Schizosaccharomyces pombe: one gene and its partner. The gene in region 1 interacts genetically with each later gene. Each region holds a gene or a part of one and is shown in the gene's direction. Other genes may lie near its edges.

The links.
Region 2: mutations in cch1 (region 1) and sqs1 together harm fitness more than expected from each alone (negative genetic interaction), as found in Schizosaccharomyces pombe (one large-scale study listed by BioGRID).

What each region holds. Positions count from the first base shown.
Region 1 is NC_003424.3:2,724,322-2,732,308, forward strand, and holds the start of cch1 (plasma membrane calcium ion import channel Cch1), read left to right. Parts: upstream 1-1,837; 5' UTR 1,838-2,397; coding exon 2,398-7,962; 3' UTR 7,963-7,987. Other genes in the region: SPOM_SPAPB2B4.07 (ubiquitin UBTD1 family protein), read left to right, coding at 55-774. UniProt on the Schizosaccharomyces pombe protein: Voltage-gated, high-affinity calcium channel that functions together with yam8 to mediate calcium entry into cells. Required during conditions of environmental stress.
Region 2 is NC_003423.3:1,301,089-1,306,374, reverse strand, and holds sqs1 (G-patch and R3H domain-containing protein), read left to right. Parts: upstream 1-2,239; 5' UTR 2,240-2,346; coding exon 2,347-4,434; 3' UTR 4,435-4,778; downstream 4,779-5,286. Other genes in the region: ldb1 (LIM domain binding protein), read left to right, coding at 379-1,554.

The sequences.
Region 1 (7,987 bases):
ACAACAGCACAATCTCGAGAAATCAAGGGAGAAACGTTATTCAAGTAAAACAGGATGGGTCAATGTCTCTCCGGAAATCAGGTTGCAGGAGTTGCAAATAATGGCGGTGAGCAGCCATCTGGTAGCAATATTTTGCGATTGCCCAAACTGTACACACCCAATCCTCTGCTGACAAAAGAAGAAGTCGAGGTACGTCGAAATGAGTTTTGGGAAACCTGCTGGGCTTATGGTGGCTCAAAAGAAATATGGGATGTTTTGCACAAAGTAGTGACTTTATTGTACGAAGGAAATGCTGAAGCGGCTACCGAAATGGCATTGGCGGCGGATTTGACGATTCCAGAAAACGATATTAGTAAGGGTGTATACGATTCAAAAGGCACTTTTTATGAAATTCCTAAAATTGTGGCTCGTATCCCTCGTGCTTTTGCAGAACGAAAAGATTCACTCGACGATGAGGATGATAACATGATAAGTAGCAACGACCCTACAAAATCCCCAGAGGAGCATGATACCACCACAAAATCCATAGCATCGCTAAAGGATGCGGAATTGGATTCGTCTTTGGAAACCGTCTTAATCCGTTACAGTAAGGATGACAAAGATTACTCGATTCAGATTAATCCCAATCTTCCTTTTTCTCATGCCAAGTCCCAATTAGAAGAAGTAGGACTTGAAAATGTCCAAAGATTTTTTTTCCTTGGACGCGTCCTTCAATTTAAAAAAAGTTTATCCCAACAGGGTTGGACTTCTGGTATGATCATTCAAGCTATGTAAGCTTTTATTTCTCTTCCTTTGAAAACCGATCCTTCCTTTTATTTCTAGCGATGTTTTAGAGCTAACTGTACAATTTATGAAAACTTTTTTTTTTCTAAAAAGAAAAGTAGTTTTTGGTCTGATGGTTGTATCGTGAATGTGATTTTCGCGTTGTTGCTTCTTTGTGTTCAGCCAAAGGCTTTTTCTTTGAACTCTTTGTTTGTTTTAATTATCATTTTTCATTTTCTTTTCTATTTTTTGAGACATACGATTCTCCTCGGTATTTTCTTTTAATCCTGCTTATTTGACCCTTAGTTTGCTGTACAAATTCAGCTGTTTAATTTGATTTTTTCACCCTTCTTATCAGCACTGTCTCATTCCTTTTTATGTCCGTTATGGATATTGAAGACTTGTTGAGGTTTCAATTTGATGCTTTACGATTAGTCTTTTACATATGTTTCTTTCATTCTTGAATTTTTTTCATGATGAAGCATATCTTTTCGCTATTTTTCATAATTTTTCTATACAAATTTGGTATAAGTTATAATAGTTGGTATTTTTTCTTCTACCCTTCATTGATGTCGATTTCGAGATTATTCAATTAGAGTACATCTTATTTGTTATCCGCTTCAATTATTTCATCTTGTTGGACATACCATAATTCTATTACCATTGAATTAATTTATTTGCTAGACGTTTATATCGTTTGCGAAAATTTGTTACTATCGTAATTTCTTGCTTTCGTTACAAAACCTATCGAAAATAAAGCATTTCATTAAGTAATAGATGTGAGATAAAGAAGTTTGGAAGGAAGAAATAAATTTTGTATTCAATAGGAAGAAAAAATATCTGTTTATTAAAAAAACTATCTATATATTGCTTAAACTAATAGTTTATTTAAGTATTGAATGTGTTTATCAATTATCCTATACATACTTGCAAACTAAAATCACATTTAAAATTAACCCAGAGTTTTAATTTTTCATCTTCCCTGTCTTCGCGGTTCCGTACCAACCATACGGGTCGACCATTCCTACTATTCCCAGTGCTGTCCATATTGCCAGGTTTGGGAACAATCCTCTCCAGCGGACTACCAACATTGGGTTAAGCAAGCACCTTGAGAAAACGTAGATTTGAAAGTTTTATTTATTCCTTTTGTCTATTTTTTTGAATATAAAAAGTGTGAAACTAAAACTATTGAAGCATTCGTACAATTTGAGTTCCGGGCAACAACTCGAAAATTTGTGTCGGCGGCATTTTTACACCTCACTGTTTCTTTACAATTTAAACTTGCATTCATTTTCGTCATTTATTAATATACTTTACTTTAGCATACATTGTCGTTTTCCATATCTCATGAACGCTGGCAATTGGACTCTTTTCTTTACATTTGTCTCTCTTTGAACGGTTTATGAACTACATCCTCCTGTTAGTCCTTTTTCCTTATTTCAATCGTTATTTTGACTTTAAATATTTATTCTATTCGTTACGTTTTATAATTAAATCTTGTTGCACTATATCTATTCCTTTTTTTTGCATTTCCCGTGTTAGAGAAGCTCCTTGACTCTTAAGAGGTTCTGGTTTTCGACGTTTTCTACATTCCTTCAGTCTTTTTTCATCATTTAAAAAAAATTAAGAAGTGTAATGTCATCAAGCTCAAACTCAGATCCAAGCTCTAGCCCTGATAATACCGATTTCATTCCCCTTAAAGATAATCCTAAAGATACCTCTTCCTACATAAATAAAAAAAATCCATTCGTAAACGATTCTTTTGATTCCCATGATGATTCCTATTTGGATAATGTTAACCCATTTGAGTATAATGTTGCAGATGATGAAGATACGATTTCCATGACCAGCGACGGTGTCGAATTTCATAACCTTGGCATAACCGAAACTGTTGATGAGCAGGACAAAATCTTGTCTGAACTTCAATTGGCCTATCCTACTGTTTCTAGGTACTCAGAAACACTAGATAAAGGTCTTCTGAATGGAGATAAAACTACCAAGGGAGATTACACCAGTCTAAGGAGATTTAGAAAACCTTTCTTGTTTGATAAACTATCTCCTTATTTTACTCATTTTTTTTCCGAAATTTACGCTGCGGTTTTGAGAGTTGTTGGCCCTCCAAGAGCTAATGAAACACCCGGAAGAAACTTGCCATTTTCCCCAATTCTCCGCCAAATTTATAATCACCCTTTATACAATATCTTTATTTTTGTTGTAATTGTGCTACATGCGGTTTTACTAATGATTCGTTCTGATGACCCTCATGATAAGTCTCAAACTATCGATTATTTAATTATTGTAATCGGTATCTTATATACGTTAGAGATGTTGCTCAAAATCTATTTATTTGGTTTTTTATATGATGGTTCCTCTTCATTTTATGATTTCATAAACTCGTATACCAAGAAAACTCCCAGAACAATGTCTTATTTGCGACATTCATGGAATCGTGTCGATTTTGTGGCTATTGTTGCTTTATGGATCTCTGTAATTGGTAAAAAACAGCAAGGTATTTTTCGGCTTTTTAGTATGATTGCTTGTTTGCGCCTAACTCGGCTGTTGAATATAACTCGAAAAACTGAAACCATCCTAAAAAGTTTAAAAGAGTCGTCTACACCTTTAGTACAAGTCGTCTCGTTTAATGCTTTCTTTGGGGTAATGATAGCTATATTGGGTGTTCAATTTTTTAAGGCATCACTGAATCGTCAATGCGTATGGCTTGGTGATTACGGGGACCAGTATTTACCTACTGGTCAATTTTGTGGTGGTCATTGGGAGAATGGTATAAAAAGGGCTTACTTAGATAAAAATGGATTTCCATCCAACGTGAACCCCAGAGGTTTTATCTGTGCTGAAAAAAGTGTTTGTCGCGTGGTGGAAAACCCCTACAGTAACACTGTTAGCTTTGACAATTTTTTCAATTCTTTGGAATTGATATTTGTTATAATGAGTTCCAATGGGTTCACGGATATTATGTACGATATCATGGATGCAGAATATTTTGTTTCTTGTCTCCTTTTCATAATATCTGCATATTTTCTTACACTCTGGCTCATGTCCCTTGTGATTGCAGTGGTAACGAGTTCTTTTATTGACTTGCAGCATTCCGGAAAGAATCAAAAAGAACAAAAATCTGTTGATAAACATCTCATTCGAAATAAGTTATGTGAGAAGTACCTATTTTACTCGAACTTTATTTGGATAAGTTTTATAGTAGCCCAGTTTGTAACTCTTTGTACTCAAACATATGATCAAACTTCTAGCACTGCAAATAGGTACCTAATCTTTTACGCTTGTGTGGACTTTCTACTGGCTGCAGAAGTGATTCTTAGATTTTTTGCATACTTGCCAGATTATAGGCTTTTTTTTCGACGGTATACAAATTTGGTTGATATTGTCTTGGCCGTTTTGAATTTGGTTACTTTATTACCGAGTATTAGAAAAAATCCTGTAGCTTTTGGTTGGTTGTCAATATTTGCTATTGCTAGGATATACCGATGCATTCTTTTGATTCCCTATACACGGAAAATTGCTAAACTCTTGTTCTCAAATTTTAAACAACTGCTAAATTTGATGCTATTTTTGGTAATCGTCTTATTCATTGCATCTTTGTGCGCTGTCAGGTTGTTTCAAGATTTGCCCAATGACGGAGATTCAGACGATGATGCGATTAGCTTCGCTACTACTTACGAATCGTTTTTATACATGTACCAGATTTTGACAAGTGAGAATTGGACGGATGTGATGTTTGCAATCCAAGCTCGATTAGCACATCTTCACTTATCGTGGATTCCTGGAGCTTTTTTTACTCTTTGGTTTCTCTTTTCAAACAACGTGGTTTTAAGTATGTTTATTGCTGTCATTCAGGTAAACTTTGCACCTTCAGAATCTGATCTAAAAATGGAACAATTGAAAATGTACTTAGCTAGGTTATTAAGGAACTATAATCCTTTTCAAGCTTCCCTTACTTTGAATGCCTTAATTAAAAGGAATGGATCTCGAAAAGGGAAGACAGTGGATGAATCTCATTATGAGTGGTTATATGAAGACAATATTATTAAAGGCTTTTTGCGTGTTACTAATATTCCTCCTAAAGAGCCACTTAAACCGAGTTTGGATACCTCACCCGAGTTATCTAAATATTCACTGGCAAAGCTGTCAAATAACTTTAAGAGATTTGTTATGCGTGATGACCCTTTTTCTCAAGCATACTTCAAACGTGTTATCGGTATACGCTGGGAAAAGGATATGAATCTCAAGACTGCAGCGAAAGATATGCAAGCTGCTAAAGCATTTGTCCGAATTAAGCAGACCGAATTTTTAAAGAATCACCCAAAGTATAATGATGTGTTTTGGGTCATTAAACCGTCGAATAGAATTAGGAGGTTTTGTCAACGACTGGTAATGCCCGGTGTGAATGAACGATATGGCGGTGTTGAGCCATATCAATGGGTTTACCGTGTAATACAAGTTTTTATTTATGCTTGTATTCTAACTGCAGTGATTATTGAATGCATTGCTACACCTATTTATGAGCGAGACCATTTATTGAATGATAAACAACATGCATGGTTTGTATGGACAGAGGTAGCTTTTGCAACTATTTTTACAATTGAAGCCGCTATAAAAATAATAGCTGATGGATTTTGTATTACACCAAATGCATACCTTCGAAGTACTTGGAATTGCATCGACTTTTTCGTTTTGGTTACCTTATGGATCAATCTTTATGCAGTATTAACAAGCCATGCCTTGCTTTCCCGAGCCTTTCGAGCATTCAAAGCGCTTCGTGTGCTTCGATTAATCAATCTTACACAAACTTCACAGCGGATGTTTCATGACGCCCTAATTAGTGGTTTTTTTAAAATATTTTCTGCCGCCGTTGTGTCGGCAACGTTGCTAATTCCTTTTGCTCTGTGGGCTAAAAACGTTTTTGGTGGATTATTATACAGTTGTAATGATGACAACGTTTTATCAGCTTCTCAGTGTGTTTTAGAATACGCATCCACTCCTAATAATTGGGAGGTTTGGGCACCAAGAGTCTGGTCCAATCCCCCTGATTACGATTTTGATAGATTTCCTCATGCTCTACTCGCTTTGTTCGAAATCGCCTCAATTGAAGGATGGGTAGACATTATGCGTTCGGTAATGGACATTACTGGATTCAATAATCAACCCCAGACCAATGCCTCTTCTGGTAATGCTATGTTCTTTGTGTTGTTCAACCTTGTTTCAATGATTTATATATTGACTCTTTTTATTGCCATCATCATCAGCAATTATGCTGAACGTACAGGGTCGGCTTTCTTTACTGCGGAACAGCGCGCGTGGTTGGAACTGCGCAGGAAGATAAAATCAATGCGTCCGTCGAAAAGGCCGGCCATTAGACCTCTGGGTTTAAGAGGACTTTGTTACGACTTTGCAGTGCAAAAACATGGCATATGGAGAAGGACATTTACTGGGTTGTATATTGTGCATCTCTTGTTCCTTCTAACCATTTTTTATCCTTGTCCTATAGCGTACACTTATGTTCGAAACTCTATATTTCTAATACTGTCAATATGTTATACGATAAACATATGTGTCAAAGTTTACGGTCTTTCATTCTACTATTTTTTTCACAGTTTTTGGAATATGTTTGATGTCGTTGTAACATTAGGAAGTCTCACTTGCAATATTGCTATCCTTGCAAAGTTTGAAAATAGGTCGTTAACACTCCTGCAAACTACTTTATTGGTGTTAGTTACTGTGCATCTAATTCCGAAGTTTGACAATTTTGATCAGCTTTCTAAAACTGTGGTTGCAAGCTTACCTTCTATTTTTTCATTGATTGCGACATGGATTGTTTTATACATTACCTTTGCTATAGCGTTTAATCAGATTTTCGGGTTGACCAAGCTTGGGTTGAATGGAGGGCCTAACAAAAACTTTAGGTCAATACGCAATGCTCTTGTTTTGCTTTTTACGATGACCTTTGGAGAAGGCTGGAACGATGTAATGCATGATTATACTATATCATATCCTAATTGTGTGAATGGTGACGATTTCTACAATTCAGACTGCGGTAACAAACCGTGGGCTTATGGATTGTTTATTGCTTGGAATATTATCTCAATGTACATTTTTGTTAATATGTTTATTACTGTTGTTTTCGACAACTTTTCCTACATCCATACTAAATCTTCCTCGTTTACAAATTTGCAGCGTAACGATTTCCGACAATTTAAGGATTCATGGGCACCTTTTGACCCCATGGTCACCGGTTATATTCCCAAACGCAATGCTGTAAAATTTGTTCTTTCGCTAAGGGGTGTCTATGATTTCAGAATATATCGAGATGAACATACATTGAGAAGCATTATCTCCAAAGTTCAGAGTAAAACTGGGCAGCAATCTGTCCCAATGCTCGAAAATCCCTTGATGGGTTCTGAAATAAACTTAGAGGCGCTAGACCAAATTATTGATACTATTGATGTAAACGTAGTGAAAGAGCGAAGAAACGTACTGAATTCTCTCTGTACAGAGATTATGACACTACCGGGCAACGTCATTTCTTTTTCGAATATATTGATGTTAGTTGTACTTCATAAAATTGTTGATCATCGTGAAGCATTTCCTATTTCTGACTACATTCGCCGAGCGTACGTACTTTCGGAATTGGAAAAATCTATTAGAATGGAAAAGTTGTTGGGTTTGGTTGAAACTTCAATCATCAGAAAAACATTCCTTCAACATATGGAAGAAAAGAAGAAAGCTTTAGAAAATCCTTTCATACTTTTGAGTGAAGTTTCTGAGATTTTACCCGAAACACCCATTCAAGAAGTCCTTCGCCAACATAATGCTGATCCAGAGCAACTTTTAATGTCAACTAGAACACCTTCAGTTAGTGATCGCAGTTTCTCCATCGTTGAATCGACTGTACCGACAATCGCTTCGGGTGAAGGTGATGATAACCATAGCGTGGAAGATCATTTGAAGGTACCAACTGATAATGAACCTCGAAGATCACCTTCTCTCAAAGAAGTCCTTCTTCGTGGATCTCATTCTTTACATTCAAATAACGACCGAACTTCATTTGACATCGAAGCAGGATTTGGAACTGCTGAAAGCGATTTCCAATTTGGCGGAGCGACAGAAGATATCAATCGCATAGCTGACCGTATAGATGATTATTTAGATCGGGATTCATTTAAAGGATAAATGGGCTGTATGGCTTTTATAATCA
Region 2 (5,286 bases), on another chromosome or scaffold:
ATAAGAGAACATTGATAAAGGGCATACGGAAAACTGGCGTTGATCTCATTAATATTGATACTCGAAATCAGTGTAAAAAATGGGAACAAGGTAAATTACGAAGGAATTTTTTATTCTATATTTTAATTTGTAAAATGTTAATTTATATCACAAATTCAGGCGTTTGAAAGATGCTATCTTCACCCAAATACAAGCCGTTTGTAATAACACAGCGCATCACATTTTCTAAATGTCTTTAACGTAGCGTGCCAATCTCTAATTCACTTAAAGGGTTAACCATGCATGGCGGGCTCCGGCCGTTAATGTTTCACAAGCGCTTTGCACTTTGAACAAATCCAATTCTGCAGCGCTGGTGGCTTTCTTGTAAATTTCGCAGCTATGGTTGCAAACTATGCGTCCATGATGTATCATAATGGCTCGAATATACTAGGATACGGTGTTTTGCGATTATTACAATATAATGAACAGTTAATGTCAGGATGGGAAAGTACCATGAAAGATGATATTGGGTATTGGAGACGATTTGTGCATGATTTTTATACTGAAAAGGGAACATTTCGCTATAACATCGACTACAAAGATTCGCCAAACCAGGAGCCGAAATTGTTTGAATTATCGTATGCAGCACTTCCGCGCTTCTTATATCTGAGTTATTGCGGCAAACTTAAAAAGATGTCGTTCCTTTTGGGAAATACAAAGGAATTTGCCATTCCAAACAATGGGTATTTTGTGGAATCGTCAAGGGCAAGCATTTTATATCAGTATCAAGGCGGTGTACAGGTAATTGTATCGGGGCACTTGCGGGCTCATTTCTTTCGTGCTCCTTTGTTAAAATTAGACTCTTTAGAGTTTTCAGCTGTCGGACATTCCGAGTATCTTTTGCGCGAGTTAATGACAAACGCTTCCCTAGCCCTTTCGCAGTCGCGGCCTCCTCAAAATCAAATACAACACGATGGGGTAAAAAGTGAGGATCCGTCATCCGAAAGTGTAAATATTAACTCATCTTCTTCTCTTTTGCCGGATTCACCCGTCAACGAATATGGATTGGAACCGCACATCATGCGGTTCATGGAAATTACTGAAACAATTTCGGGAATGCGCGATCTCATAGCCTTCACTCTTGCTCAGCGATCGGGTCCGACTAGCGCTTTACATAAATTTGCTACAGCTTTACAACAACAGCATCAAATGCAAAAGTCTACTTCCTCTAATATTCCATATGCAAATCCAGCCCCCTCGGGGTTTAATGGCTCGCCTAGGAATGGTGATGTTGCTAGTCTTGCCTCTAATTATCGTTATGCCAAGCAACCTCCCACTATGCCTGCTAATGCAATTAGTCAAGCTAATCGTCTTTTGGACCAAAATAATATCCCCAATATGGATCCATCAATTCTTCCTCAATCCATGCCGATTGCCTCTGTTCCGCCCTATAGTCTTCAGGGGATTAAACGCCAAGGTACCCATTCCCCAATGGTTGAAGGTGAAAATCCCAACAATAATCCTAACTTCTATTCTTCTGATATGCTGAACGCTCAAAAACGTACCAAGGTATAGCTGTTTTTTTGTATTTAATATTCGGTTCGCTCGCTACTTATACATATATCTGCACTCACTGTTATTTTTCGTTGTCTAAGTTTGAAATTCTTAAGAAAAATTTCTATTACTTTCTTTTTTTTGAGCGTATTACATTATTTATTCCTTTTTCTGAATACACTTTTGTGTATGTGTTCAACTTCAAATTCCTTACCGTTCTCATCATATGCAGAATTTGTCATCTCGTTCCCTATTCGACGCTTCTCTTTTATACTTTTAAAATAAAAAGGAATTTTTTTCATTATAAAGTAATTCTATGTATTTTTACATTGCTCCCTGTTTCAAGAACAAATCGTTTCCCCTGTCGTTGCTCTCGAGGGACGTAAAAGAAACTGCATTAGTATAGCGTTCTATATTCTAACATTCTATTTCTTGCACTATTTACATTATAGTTATTTGGCTGTTTTATATGTTTTATACAAAAATTTATAACTTATAATTACATGATGAGCTACTGTCGGTTAATTCATATTCAACTTTGAGTCGGTCAATGTATGAATCTCCTCAACTTCAGTTTAAATAGACGTGTATACTTGAAATTAATAGTTAAATTGTAAATTGAATATTTAGAAATTTGTATTTAATACCGTGGCAAAATCGTTTAGTGTACTATATGAAGCACTTTCCCCCAAGACTCCATCCTACTACCACCATTTGGTTTACGCACCTCACAATTTAGGATTTCACCATCATTATTTATTAAAACAATTATATATTATTTTTTTTATCATATTTTTTGACTTGTATCCCTCAATGTCAAATTTTGATGATCTACAGATTTTAGATCAGTTACAAACTTCTGCCAGGTTTCGTGGTGATACACGAATCCGAAGATTTAAGGGATCCAATAATTCTAAAAGCCCTTTTGGTTTAAACCCTAGTAGTCGAATTTCACAATGGCCCCGAATTACCTTTATACGTGCTAAGGACAATTACAACCCGGCGGAAGAATTGTGTCAATTAATCGATGAACAAAATGCCCACAATGAAGCTAAGCACCAAAGCAAAGAGATTATGCTTCCCAAGGAAACCAACGTTAAGTCCTGCGAAGATTTATCAAAAACCGGTGAAATAAAGGCGTTGGACATTGTGTTATTTAAAGCAATTACTTCGAAAGGTGATACATTGAAAGTAAAGAAAATTCCGGAATATGCGGAAGCGTTTGATACCACCAAGAATGTAGAAGTTTCAAGTTTTCCTGAGAAAAGCATGAACGAAAATGTTTTGATTCAGCATTCTTTAAATCTTGCACCAAGTGATAAGGAAATTTCATCTACAGAAGAAAGTGAGCAGTTGTGTTACAAAGAACAAGAATCTGAGAAGGAGTTATATTCTAAAGATAATGATGACTCTTTAGACATACTAAATGTTCCAAACTTGGTCAATGATGATATTGCTAACAATAACGCTGCACCTCCACCGCCTTTGGCTCAGGCACAGGAGCAGTTGAGTACCGAAAATGAAGACGAGTTTGATATTGATGACACCACCGATAAAATGACTACGTTTACTATGAACAAGTTTGCCGACCTCTCCGTTTTAGAAGAAGATGATGATGATGAGGACGAAGATGAAGAGCTAGAAGGAGAGAAAGAAGAGGAGGAAGAGGAGAAAGAAAAACCTGAAATATCAAATTACGATGAGACAGAGGGTAAAGTAAATTTTTCACTTGAAGATTCGGAATCTTTAGAATTTGATGAGGGATCAGATGACTATGATTATGCTAAGTTAACGACGGAACTTGTGGGAAATACAGATTCATTAGCCGAAGATGAAGATGATATTTTGGAAGAAGATGAAGATGAAGATGAAGAAGAGCTTTTGGCAATTTTTGATGCTAGTGATGATTCCGAGATTGAGGCATACCTTAGTATTGGAGATACTTTGCAAAATGATTTTACTATTTATGATTATGACAGTGAGGATGAAGAGTACAATAACCCCTCAACTCAAAAAACGGAAAAAGTTTCTCAAAGCAAAAAAGGGGCGAAGGTAAAAGAAGAAAAAGGTTTGAAAAAAGATCGCAAACTTCCTAAAAAAATGCGTAAAGCTCAAAAGAAATTAGAGAGAAAGGCAGGAAAGGCTGTGGCCGCTAGAATGGGAGATGCCTTTTCCAATTCTTTGGACGATGAGAGCATGAACTTGTACGCTGAATTGCAAGAACAATGGCTTAAAGATAAAAGCAAAAAGGCAAGAAGACGAGCGGAAAGGGAGAAACTCCGCTCTGAGGGGCTACTTGGAAAGAAAAGCAAAAAGAAACTTTTGCGCGAAAGCCAGAAGCCGTCTTCTTCCGATTCTGACAATGCTAGTCTTACACGAATTGATAAGATATTTATAAATGATGTTTATCAACGGATGCAACAGTTTAAGCACTCGGCCATTGAAGAAATTTCCCTTCCTCCATGCAGAAAATATGTTCGTCGATTGGTTCATGCGCTTGCCAACGATTTGAACTTGAAGTCGAGAAGTTATGGATCTGGAAACAAGCGGTATACTATGCTTTCCAAAACTCATAAATTTGATGCATCTAGTGTGGATTTGGTTTCACTTACCAGGATTATGGAGCGTTTACAGACCAGGGTTGAGTATCAGTCATTTTCCAAATCTGGTAGGAAATCTCGAATGACTGTTTCCTCTGTGAGGTCGAGTAAAGCCACACGTGTATATGATGGCCAAATTGTTGGAGAAGATGCCCCTGAAATTAGCAAAGAAAATCCAGGTCGTCGGTTGCTCGAAAAGTTAGGATGGTATGCAGGTAAAGGACTTGGTCATCCCGAAAATGAAGGTTCCAAAGATAGTTTACGTGCTATTGTTAAAGTTAGCAGAAGTGGTTTAGGTTAGAAAACCAGGGTGACTGGTCAAACCGAGAAACTAATCAGCTGTGTCTTATTTACTTGAGATAATACTCCAATTTATATATATATATATATAAATATATACTATTCTAGGTTAAGCATCATATTCAAATTAGCGATTTGTACATATTGATGTGAAGTAAAAAATTAACCGTGGGTACTTCGACATGGTGTCTTTCCATTCAAGAGATAAACCGGAAATCCAGAAAGATAACTATCTTTTATTTTAAGATATAAACTTCATTTAAATAGACAGAATAATTATTCTCACTACAGGAGCAATTGAATATGTAAGTTGCTGCTATGGGCATACTGCAGCTAAAGAAGTTCTACAAAACGGTGATATCGCAGTGTACAGAGTTATTATTGCTATTTAAAGAAGATAATCGTAAAATCAGTTAGCGTTTAATATATAACACGTGTAATACAGTATAAGGAGTTATGTAAAGTAACGTTTAGGTCATTTTAACAGGCAATATCGGTCAATAGTGATACCCAACATCGCACTATTCGCAGTTTCAACCAAGTATCAATCGGAGCCTTTTTCATTCGTTAAATAGTATAAGGCAAAAATACCGTTTCGGTAAGGGTCAATAGTGTTCGCCTAGGTTCGACTGACTTCAGCCTTTATGGGGCCCGTCGGAGCTAACTTTTCCACTTAACAACTAATCGAATTCTTAAGTGTTTTTTGACGACAATCTGTCAAACACTGTATCCTTATTAAGGAACTAGTGTATTGTTTAAAGTAAAGGAGTTTTCAAGCCTGGGAAGCTCGAAGAAACGATTCAAACGGAAGCTCTGTGGATAGCCAAGTTCGGTACGGGTTTGTACTTTCGTC